Tribolium castaneum: one gene and its partner. The protein of the gene in region 2 interacts with the protein of the main gene of each other region in a pairwise test. Links are inferred from orthologs where the notes say so. Each region holds a gene or a part of one and is shown on either strand. Other genes may lie near its edges.

The links.
Region 1: the proteins of CASK (region 2) and eag interact in binary tests that used the Drosophila melanogaster proteins (3 or more experiments, as listed by UniProt). The link is inferred for Tribolium castaneum from reciprocal best matches to the Drosophila melanogaster genes CASK and eag.

What each region holds. Positions count from the first base shown.
Region 1 is NC_087402.1:8,616,518-8,621,080, reverse strand, and holds the start of eag (potassium voltage-gated channel protein eag), read right to left. Parts: upstream 2,837-4,563; 5' UTR 2,430-2,836; coding exon 2,351-2,429; intron 1-2,350. UniProt on the Drosophila melanogaster protein: Structural component of a potassium channel. Mediates the potassium permeability of membranes; potassium current is regulated by CaMKII and CASK. Has a role in growth of the perineurial glial layer of the larval peripheral nerve.
Region 2 is NC_087400.1:7,152,028-7,155,850, forward strand, and holds part of CASK (peripheral plasma membrane protein CASK), read right to left. Parts: intron 3,410-3,823; coding exon 3,234-3,409; intron 3,181-3,233; coding exon 3,058-3,180; intron 3,001-3,057; coding exon 2,817-3,000; intron 1-2,816.

The DNA of each region.
Region 1 (4,563 bases), on a different chromosome or scaffold from region 2:
GTTTCAAAATCGAAAATCAACATTGAGAGTTTCCGAGTTTAATGAATTAATTTTGAACGTAAGAGAAGCTATTATTGACATATTTCTAAAGTGTAAATAACAAACTCTTAATTAGCTGAACCATAAAAAATTCTACAACATGTCAGAGATAAACGAGAATTATGTTACACCAACGCACCTTCTTATTATTTGGCGAAATAAAAACGCGCCACCTTGGGATTATTCATTTTACGTTCTTGGTTCATGAGTCGAGTTTGTGCTCGGATTATAAAAGAGAAGAGAGAAAGTTTATTATAAATTGAGCACCTCAACATCAATCATAAAAATGTCAAGAAGTTTCTCAAATATTTACAAAAAATATCTTTGTACTACTCTACTACTCGCTTTTTAAATAAAAAACGATCAAGGTTGGGATCAAAGTAGTGCACCATAAAGAAGAAAAATATCACGCGTCCTAAAATGAGATTCTTTTGCAGCCAACAGAACGAACAGTGGTAGGCGGAACCGAACAATATCTTTGATCTCATTTCAATATTTAATATACATTTGAGTCGTCCAATAAAAGTTTTATGAAACCTTGGCTTCAGCACCGTATGTGGTGATTTGGCAAAACATGAACTTATTGACAACATACTGAATAATACAGATTTTATTCCCTATTTAAAGGATTTAGTACCGCAAGTATGAACTTTGTTTCAAAATTTCTATACTAATAATTCCGGCAACATTTGGATAATAAAATTAATGGTAATACAAAATTTTCGTACTGAAATGTTGTTGAAACGGATAATACTAAATCAATACAAAACGTTCGGTTTGTTACCAACACCTGAATAGGAATTATACTTTTCTCGATCAATTATGAAACACCTATTGTTGTGCATTTGTTATTGAAGAAGAATGTCAAGTCACCCTATAATCAAATCTCGCTTCGCTAAATTTTTGATTGCTTTCTAATTTCGTATTTGATTCTGTAGCTTGTTTTCTAACACAATATTTGCTTGTCACTGTGCCTGTCATACTGTAGTGTGCAAAGTACACAAACACGACGTGTTGCCAGCTGTAAAATAATCCCGAAGGTAGATTTGTTTACGAAATTAAATTGTCAATTTAAAAACGAACTTTCCTCAAAGTTGATAATTAACCGCTGGTTCAACTCAAATTAAGTAATTTTCCATTAATTAACTTTACGAAATAAGAGAAAGCCGCGCAAACCGCATAAACCAAAGAATTAATTATTTAATTTCAAATAATTGTAAATACTTTCGTTAAAATTTTATAACATAATGGTGACGTATGTAAGGTTTAATGAAGTAGAAAATTGATTTTATAGCTTTATATTATGAATCGATAAGTGTGAATTGCTGTATTGCTGCATCGTAAAAATTTAGACACGAGGTGGTCATAAATATTAAGTCTCCAAGTTTCGGGCTTTAAACAAACGGTGATCAATTATGGTGGATGCGCCGGGCCAAATTTAAAACTCCTCATCATCGCAGTTTCGAATTTAGCTCATTAAAAAATAACAAATTGGGGAGGAGGCTTTAGTTCCTCCCAAAATTCATAGACGTTCATTAAACACAGTTAATGATCTCCATCCATCACCTCAAATTACCCCTCAATGTGTTTTTCCCGGTGACAAATCTTGAATGTCGTCAGCAAGTGCACTCCCTCGTGATTTGCATTCCCATCTCTGAATCTTTATTATGCATCCGTGTTTTATTCAACAGCCACATGGCATCGATTCCAAAACCTAAATAAAGCTCGAAAGCTCTTCTGACACCTGATAAATAGTTGGTACGACCTCGGCTTTCATACTCCTTGTTTCTACTAACCCACATGCGGGTTATCTGGCAAGGTCATTGCTGCAATGTCTAGACTACATCAGCCAAGATACATTATTTGCCTTGCACACACTATCATTAACCCATTTGCAAATATCGATTATGAAACGCCAACTGATACGACTTCTCTTTGCATAAATGCGATTAAGCTAAACCGCTTTATGTATTAGAAATATTTTTCTCCGAGCGAGTTTAACCAGGTCGACGAACGCGAAAATGGAAAATATATCAAAAGTTCCGTCATGGTTTACTAAGTGACAAATGTAGCTACAAACCAACTTTTACGAGTGTTTAAAAAGTGTCTAAATCAAACATTGTACGTAGACTTGCTGCAAAGTTTGCCGTTTTTTTAAGTCCGCAAAAACAAATTTGCCTGCCGCCATTTTGGGTCATGGGAGTTCCCTAATGGCAAAATTAATTCGGCCTTAAATTAAATTACGTCCTTCTGCACCGTCTCACTTTTTACAATTTTCATTTCGTTAATTTCTCCAAGCGCAAAACCTTACGTTGCGAATTCGATCTCCTGATGATGTTTTCCAGAAACGTGTTCTGGGGGGCGACAAGGCCCCTTCGTCCTCCCGGCATCTTTGGTTTCTTCAAAAGCGCAAAGTTTTGCCTGTCATCTTGCCGTAACTGACATTGTGTTAGTCTTTCACGATTCGTTGCGAAGCCATAACCACACTAGCCGGAGTCTAAGTGCCGTAGCTTACGCACCATGGTATTTTTTTTCGGGGGCACAAAATTTGCACGTGCATGCTTTAGACACTAGACCGGCACTTTCGTACATATTTCCATAACTGGGCGAAAAAAGACGAATTCCGATGCTAATCACTACATTTTTAAACTTTCTTTTCTGGAGTTTGCTTGAGGTTTTCTTGATTTTTGCGGGCACGAAGTGAACATATTTGCACGATATGTTCCATTATACTGGCGGTATAAACACGGTGCCGACCGAATATCGCCACTGAATAACGAAAAATCGAAAACGATTCGAGCGCCAGGCGTCAGGACGCAACGGCGTCTTTGCGTACTACTGATCGGATTTTGAAGTAAGACGGGTAGATAAAAACGGACGCTTGTTATCTGCTTACCCTAACTTTGATTGTTTTTGACAATTCTGCTTCAGTTGATCACTTCAGGACAATCCACGCCAGACAAACAGCTTTCAGCTGGCTTGAATATATGAAATTAACTCTCAAGGGCGGATTTGAGTTATTGGCGTTTAGCCTAAGCAGAGGAAGCACCAAAGGCAAAAACACGATGGGAAGTTTTAAATTTTTGAGGTGTTGACGCGTTATTTTTATTTTTAATTATGAAATTTTGAGGCTGTTTCAGAAAAGCAGGTTTACTTATCACAAGAAGACAATTTCTTGCTCGTATTCCATGTATTTAAGAGCGTTTTCAGCAAGAAATTTAAAAAAGAGATTCGTTATTATTCCTGTTTTATACCTAAATCTGAAACAGTTTTCACCAACAAATGCACAATCCCGAAAAAAATATTTTTGTCTATTTTTTCTTTCTTAATAGAAAAATCTTTGACTAAACGACGTGAAAAAATTAAGGTGGAAACGTGTTACAATAGTTTTTCTTGTTTTTAAAAAAACGTAATTTTCTTACAGTTTGTCTGTTTTGTAGTTTTATTGTATGCGGCACTTACCTTTCAATCCCAAATTCTTGTTTCAAATCTTAAACTTTCACTCTTTTTGCTCGCTTATTCGCGTGTAACACTCCGAGGTCGCGATGATGTGATAGCAACTTAACCGACTTTTAAATAAAAATCAAAAAATTGTTTAAACTTTATTGACTTTAATACAAAATTAGTATTTCTTTAAAGATCGACGGACGGGCATCTCCACCTTGAGCTGCTCCCTCATACGGTTACAAAATGTTGATGGATCTTTCCAATAAGCCTTCACCACCTTTTCCAGCAACAGATTTCTCGTATCGATCATGCTATCTCCGCAGAAAGGGCACAACTTCAATCTTCTGTGGCAGCAACTACAAAAACTGTGCCCTCGGTCACAAATGAGGATTTTTGCTTCCATTATATCGAAACAAATCGGGCATTCAAGCGATTTCGGTACTTCAGCCATTATAACTAGATGTTAGAATTAGTTTACACGCACTTTTACGTAAATTAAAACTTCGTCACTTGACTGCTTGAACACGTTTATCACAGGTTTGAAGAAAACCGCTGCAAAAACCGATTGTGATAAATTTCGGTTGGCAGTACCTACTGTGCCGGATACTGAAATATTGAAACTATCTACGAGGGAAATTCAAGTAAAAACCGAATTCGATTATAACGTTTTATTGAATCAAAAATTAACAAAACTCTGTAAATCACATTTAGAAATAAATACGTACCTATTCGAAATAAGTTAGCATTAAACAAATCAAAAATAAGATAAATTTTAACGTAAAAGGTTTCGATAATATCATTTGCGACTTTAATGTTTACTTTAAAAAAAAATTAACTTTCGGTTGAGAGTCCTAAAAAGCTCAAAAAATAATCTTCTTTGTGTCTAGAGACAATAATTTCATTCAAAATGCAAACCAATTTTAAGCTTTCGATATTTTTAAGAGACTTGTTCACCATAAAAGGGAGAAAAGGCTGTATTCATCCAAGGGAGATTTTTTCCATCAAAAAATATAATTTTCAACCTTTCAAATGTTCTATGAAAGTAGGTACGTTATTTCCTCCTGAGGAAGGAAATTA
Region 2 (3,823 bases):
TGCCAAATTTAAAGGGAAACTTCTCAAACACGTGTTCAATAATACACTATGTACACTGGTACTGGTTTCTTTAGAACTGGATGTTGCCGAAAATACATGTAGACCGCGCTTCTTGATTTCCTTGGTGTGAAAATAAGGTCATAAAAATTGCAACACTAAGAAGGAATTTGAATTTTTTGGCACAAATGGTCGACTATTAGCGAGTAATAAATGATTACAATTTTAACGAATTTAATCAAGTGATAAGGGAGTTTTCAACATTTGAGTTCTTTTACCAGCAAGTGTTATTCTTCCAATTTATTGCTTTTCCGACTAACTTTTTATGTTTTTTTTTTAATTCGTTTAGGTTTTGGTGTTCTAAAAGCACAATTAGACCTGGAGACGACAAAACTAAAATTAACAACAATTTAAGCAATTTTGAAAGAGGCATGATTTTTGGACTTCAAATAGGGGTTTTTCATTTAGAAAATTGCTAGTCATTTGGATAGAAATCGAAGTAACATTAAGTAATGTTATCAATCATAGACTGGAGAAGGCCCAGGACAGCGCAAAAGAGAAAGCATACTTAAAAAAAAACAAATGAAGTCCAAAATGGTCGTCTTCAGGGTATGGCTATAATTTAATTACAAGACAAATATTTGCCCAATGGGTGGATTTAAAGGTCGTTTTCACTTTGGTCTGTTTACCATCGAAATTGGTCATTTGGACTGTTTCCTTTTGGTTTTTCTTGCTATGGGAGAAATGGACAAAAACGCATATCTAAGCCTGATCCATCAAACCTTTATTCCGAAACACAACGCATTTCGACCATAATATGGTCAGTGTATACAGTGTATATTTCACCTGAGAATGACCACTTTGTGGTTGAAACACGTTTTTACAAATAAAAGTTTTGGTGTGTCAGGTTTAAGCTGTGTTTTTGCTCATTCCTCCCATACTTAGGAAATCCAACAAAAAGCAGTCTAAATAACCTAATTCGACGGTAAACAGTCAGAAGCGAAGTACGACGACCTTCGAACTCAACCATTGGTCAGAAATTTTTCTTGTACTTGGATTATTACCATAATACGAAGATGACCATTTTGGACTTCATTGATTTTTTAAGGCTGCTTCCTCTTCTGCTTTGTCCTGAACCTTCTCTAATCATACTGATAACATCGCATAATGCTACTTGGATTACCATTCAAACAAATAGTAGTACCTCCAAATGAAAAAAACCTATTCGTTTCCCAAAAATTGTGCTTCTTTAAAGTTTGTTTAATTGTTGTTAATTTTTTTTGACATACTCTAGGCATATTTTCGTTTTCATAATACTTAAAACTAAACGGATTTAAAAAAATCACTTCAAAAATTGTCACAAACGAAAAAAAACACTTGCTGGTAAAAAAGTTTAAGTGTTACCACTTGATTAAAAATGTTCAAATTTTAATCAATTAATGCCTGCTAATAGACTAACATTTGTGCCAAGTTTCATCAAAAAAATCGTATTCCTTCTTGGTGTTGCAATTTTTATGACACTGGGTATACAAATTCAATTTTAAACCAGTCACACCGAACTTTTATTTGAAAAAAACAAAGCGTTTTAACAATATTTTGCCTTACAAACTTATTTTACTTCTACGAGCAAAAAATATTTTACCGCTTACGATAACAACCCCCTTCTATTCCTTAGTTTGTGGTGGAGGAAGTAAAGTTGGTATATAAAGCAAAAAACAACATTGTTAAACTAGTTTCGTTTGTATTCTCACCTAAGAACGACCGCCACGTTGTAGTTGAAAGGCGTTGTGTTTTCAAATAAAAGTAAATACATGTACCCAGTCGCAGGGCCAGGCTGTATTTGGAGAAATTGAAGCGCTTGTTGGTGATTTGGGCGAAATTTATTTTTATAGTAATTAACTTGAATCGTTTAAATTTAAGCGGCGAGTTTCCTCAGAATAGAACAATTATCTCAACCGTTTAATTTAATTTAATTCGGGGTACAGTCTACACAAAGTGGAATAAATATACGGTTCCACCCTGTACACTTGATAATTTTTGCGTATATGATTTTCCCGTTTTAATTACTCTGGGTTACGTCATTTACATTTATAACTCGGTTCCACCATAGATACAACCCTTTGTCGCCGCCTCTCGTCGCAATTAATTTGCATGTTTTAAAGGCAAAGAAAGTTCTTTATTGTTCCTTACCAGCAATTACGAGCCTCATTACTGGAAGGCTAAATCGAATAAAGAGTAGTTTACCTTCGTTAAGCATCTACTTTATATTAAAATTGGCTGCAGCGTGTGTGAGATCACACCTCGGGGAGTACGAGAGACGGTCAATCTACTCTAATCCGGCGACAAGACCTAGAAAAACCCGGAAAGGAGCTTCATAATTAAATCTACAAGCGACCGCTTTGTAACCGCAATACCCTTGCAAAGTGCTCCCGACCGCAGGCCCTTTTTTCCTGCCATTCTCGGTTAAATAAAGCGGCAGAGAAAAATTCCCTCGATTGATGATGCCAGTGTAAACAATCTTAAAGAAAATCTCATGATGACCAAACGAGACCCTTTTTACTTGTTGCGTCGCAAACATCGATTCTTAAAGAGTGGGTGTGGAAACACTACAACCTTCAACAATTCGTGATAAATGGCCGCGTTCCCCAGACGTTTATGTTTGTGCACATCAACAGTTCATCCCGAATTGTTCCCATATTTCACCCGAATGAGACGATTCGAGCTCTAATTACCGCTAGCGAAATTTTCTGAGACCCGAAACGAAAGAAGATTTTTCACAACTCTAACAATCGCTCAGAGAAAAAATCGAAATCACTTACCGCACGCCGAGATCTCGTCGTCGCCGAAGTCCGAGAGCGAGTCCGAATTCGTTTCGTCGTACGGATACCATTTACTCGAATTGACCGCACTCAAAATCACTGCTTTTAATTTTCTCCTCGCGTTAAATTTTTTTAATTCTTCCACCGACTCGCCGAGATGAATCCTTAATCCCTTATCGCGATCCTGTAACAAATCCCCGACCTCCAGTCGACGCATTCTTATCTAAACGGCCATAATTACCCTCAGCCATCTATGATTTAAAACTTCCTGTATCGTTATCCTCTGTTTGGGATCCACAGTTAACATTTGTTGTATTAAGTCTTTTGCACTATCACTAATGAGCTCCCACTGCGGCGAATCCAACTGGAAGCCGCCGAGTTTTATAAGCTGCTGCAAAAATATCGGAGTTAACTCACGTGCAGTTTGCCGCGACATATAGATTCCATGAGGCGACGGCCGCTTCCATGGAAAGGCAAAACGCCGGAAAGAAGGATGTGGAGAAGGACACCCGCACCCCAGATGTCCACGGGTTTGCCGTACGATCGCCTCTCGATCACTTCGGGGGCCATGAAGTTGGGACATCCCACTCGGCCTGGGAAAAAACGCCAAACTTGGGCCAAGTAGCCACAAAAGTACATACCCAGGAGGTAGCACTTTTTTCCAGATCAAAAAAACACTACCTCCTGCACTAAAAGACTTGTGGCTTGATTGAGACTTTCAACAAAACGTTGAAAACATCGCAAGGAAACAGTAGCGTGCACTGCGCAGCATATGAGATGATTAAGACAAAACAAATGAGATGTAGATTTGATCCTCGGCTCTGGAAGTTAAGTCAATTTAACTCTAACCGAACCTTCTGAGATTATTAACGTGATATACACCAACAAAGTTTGATGGAAGTATCTAAATCACATCAAGCGTTGGATTCCCCATTGATTGGCAATTAATCACTCAAAATGAAAAAAACTCTCACTTTCGGCTCGAAAATATTAAATTCACGGAAACA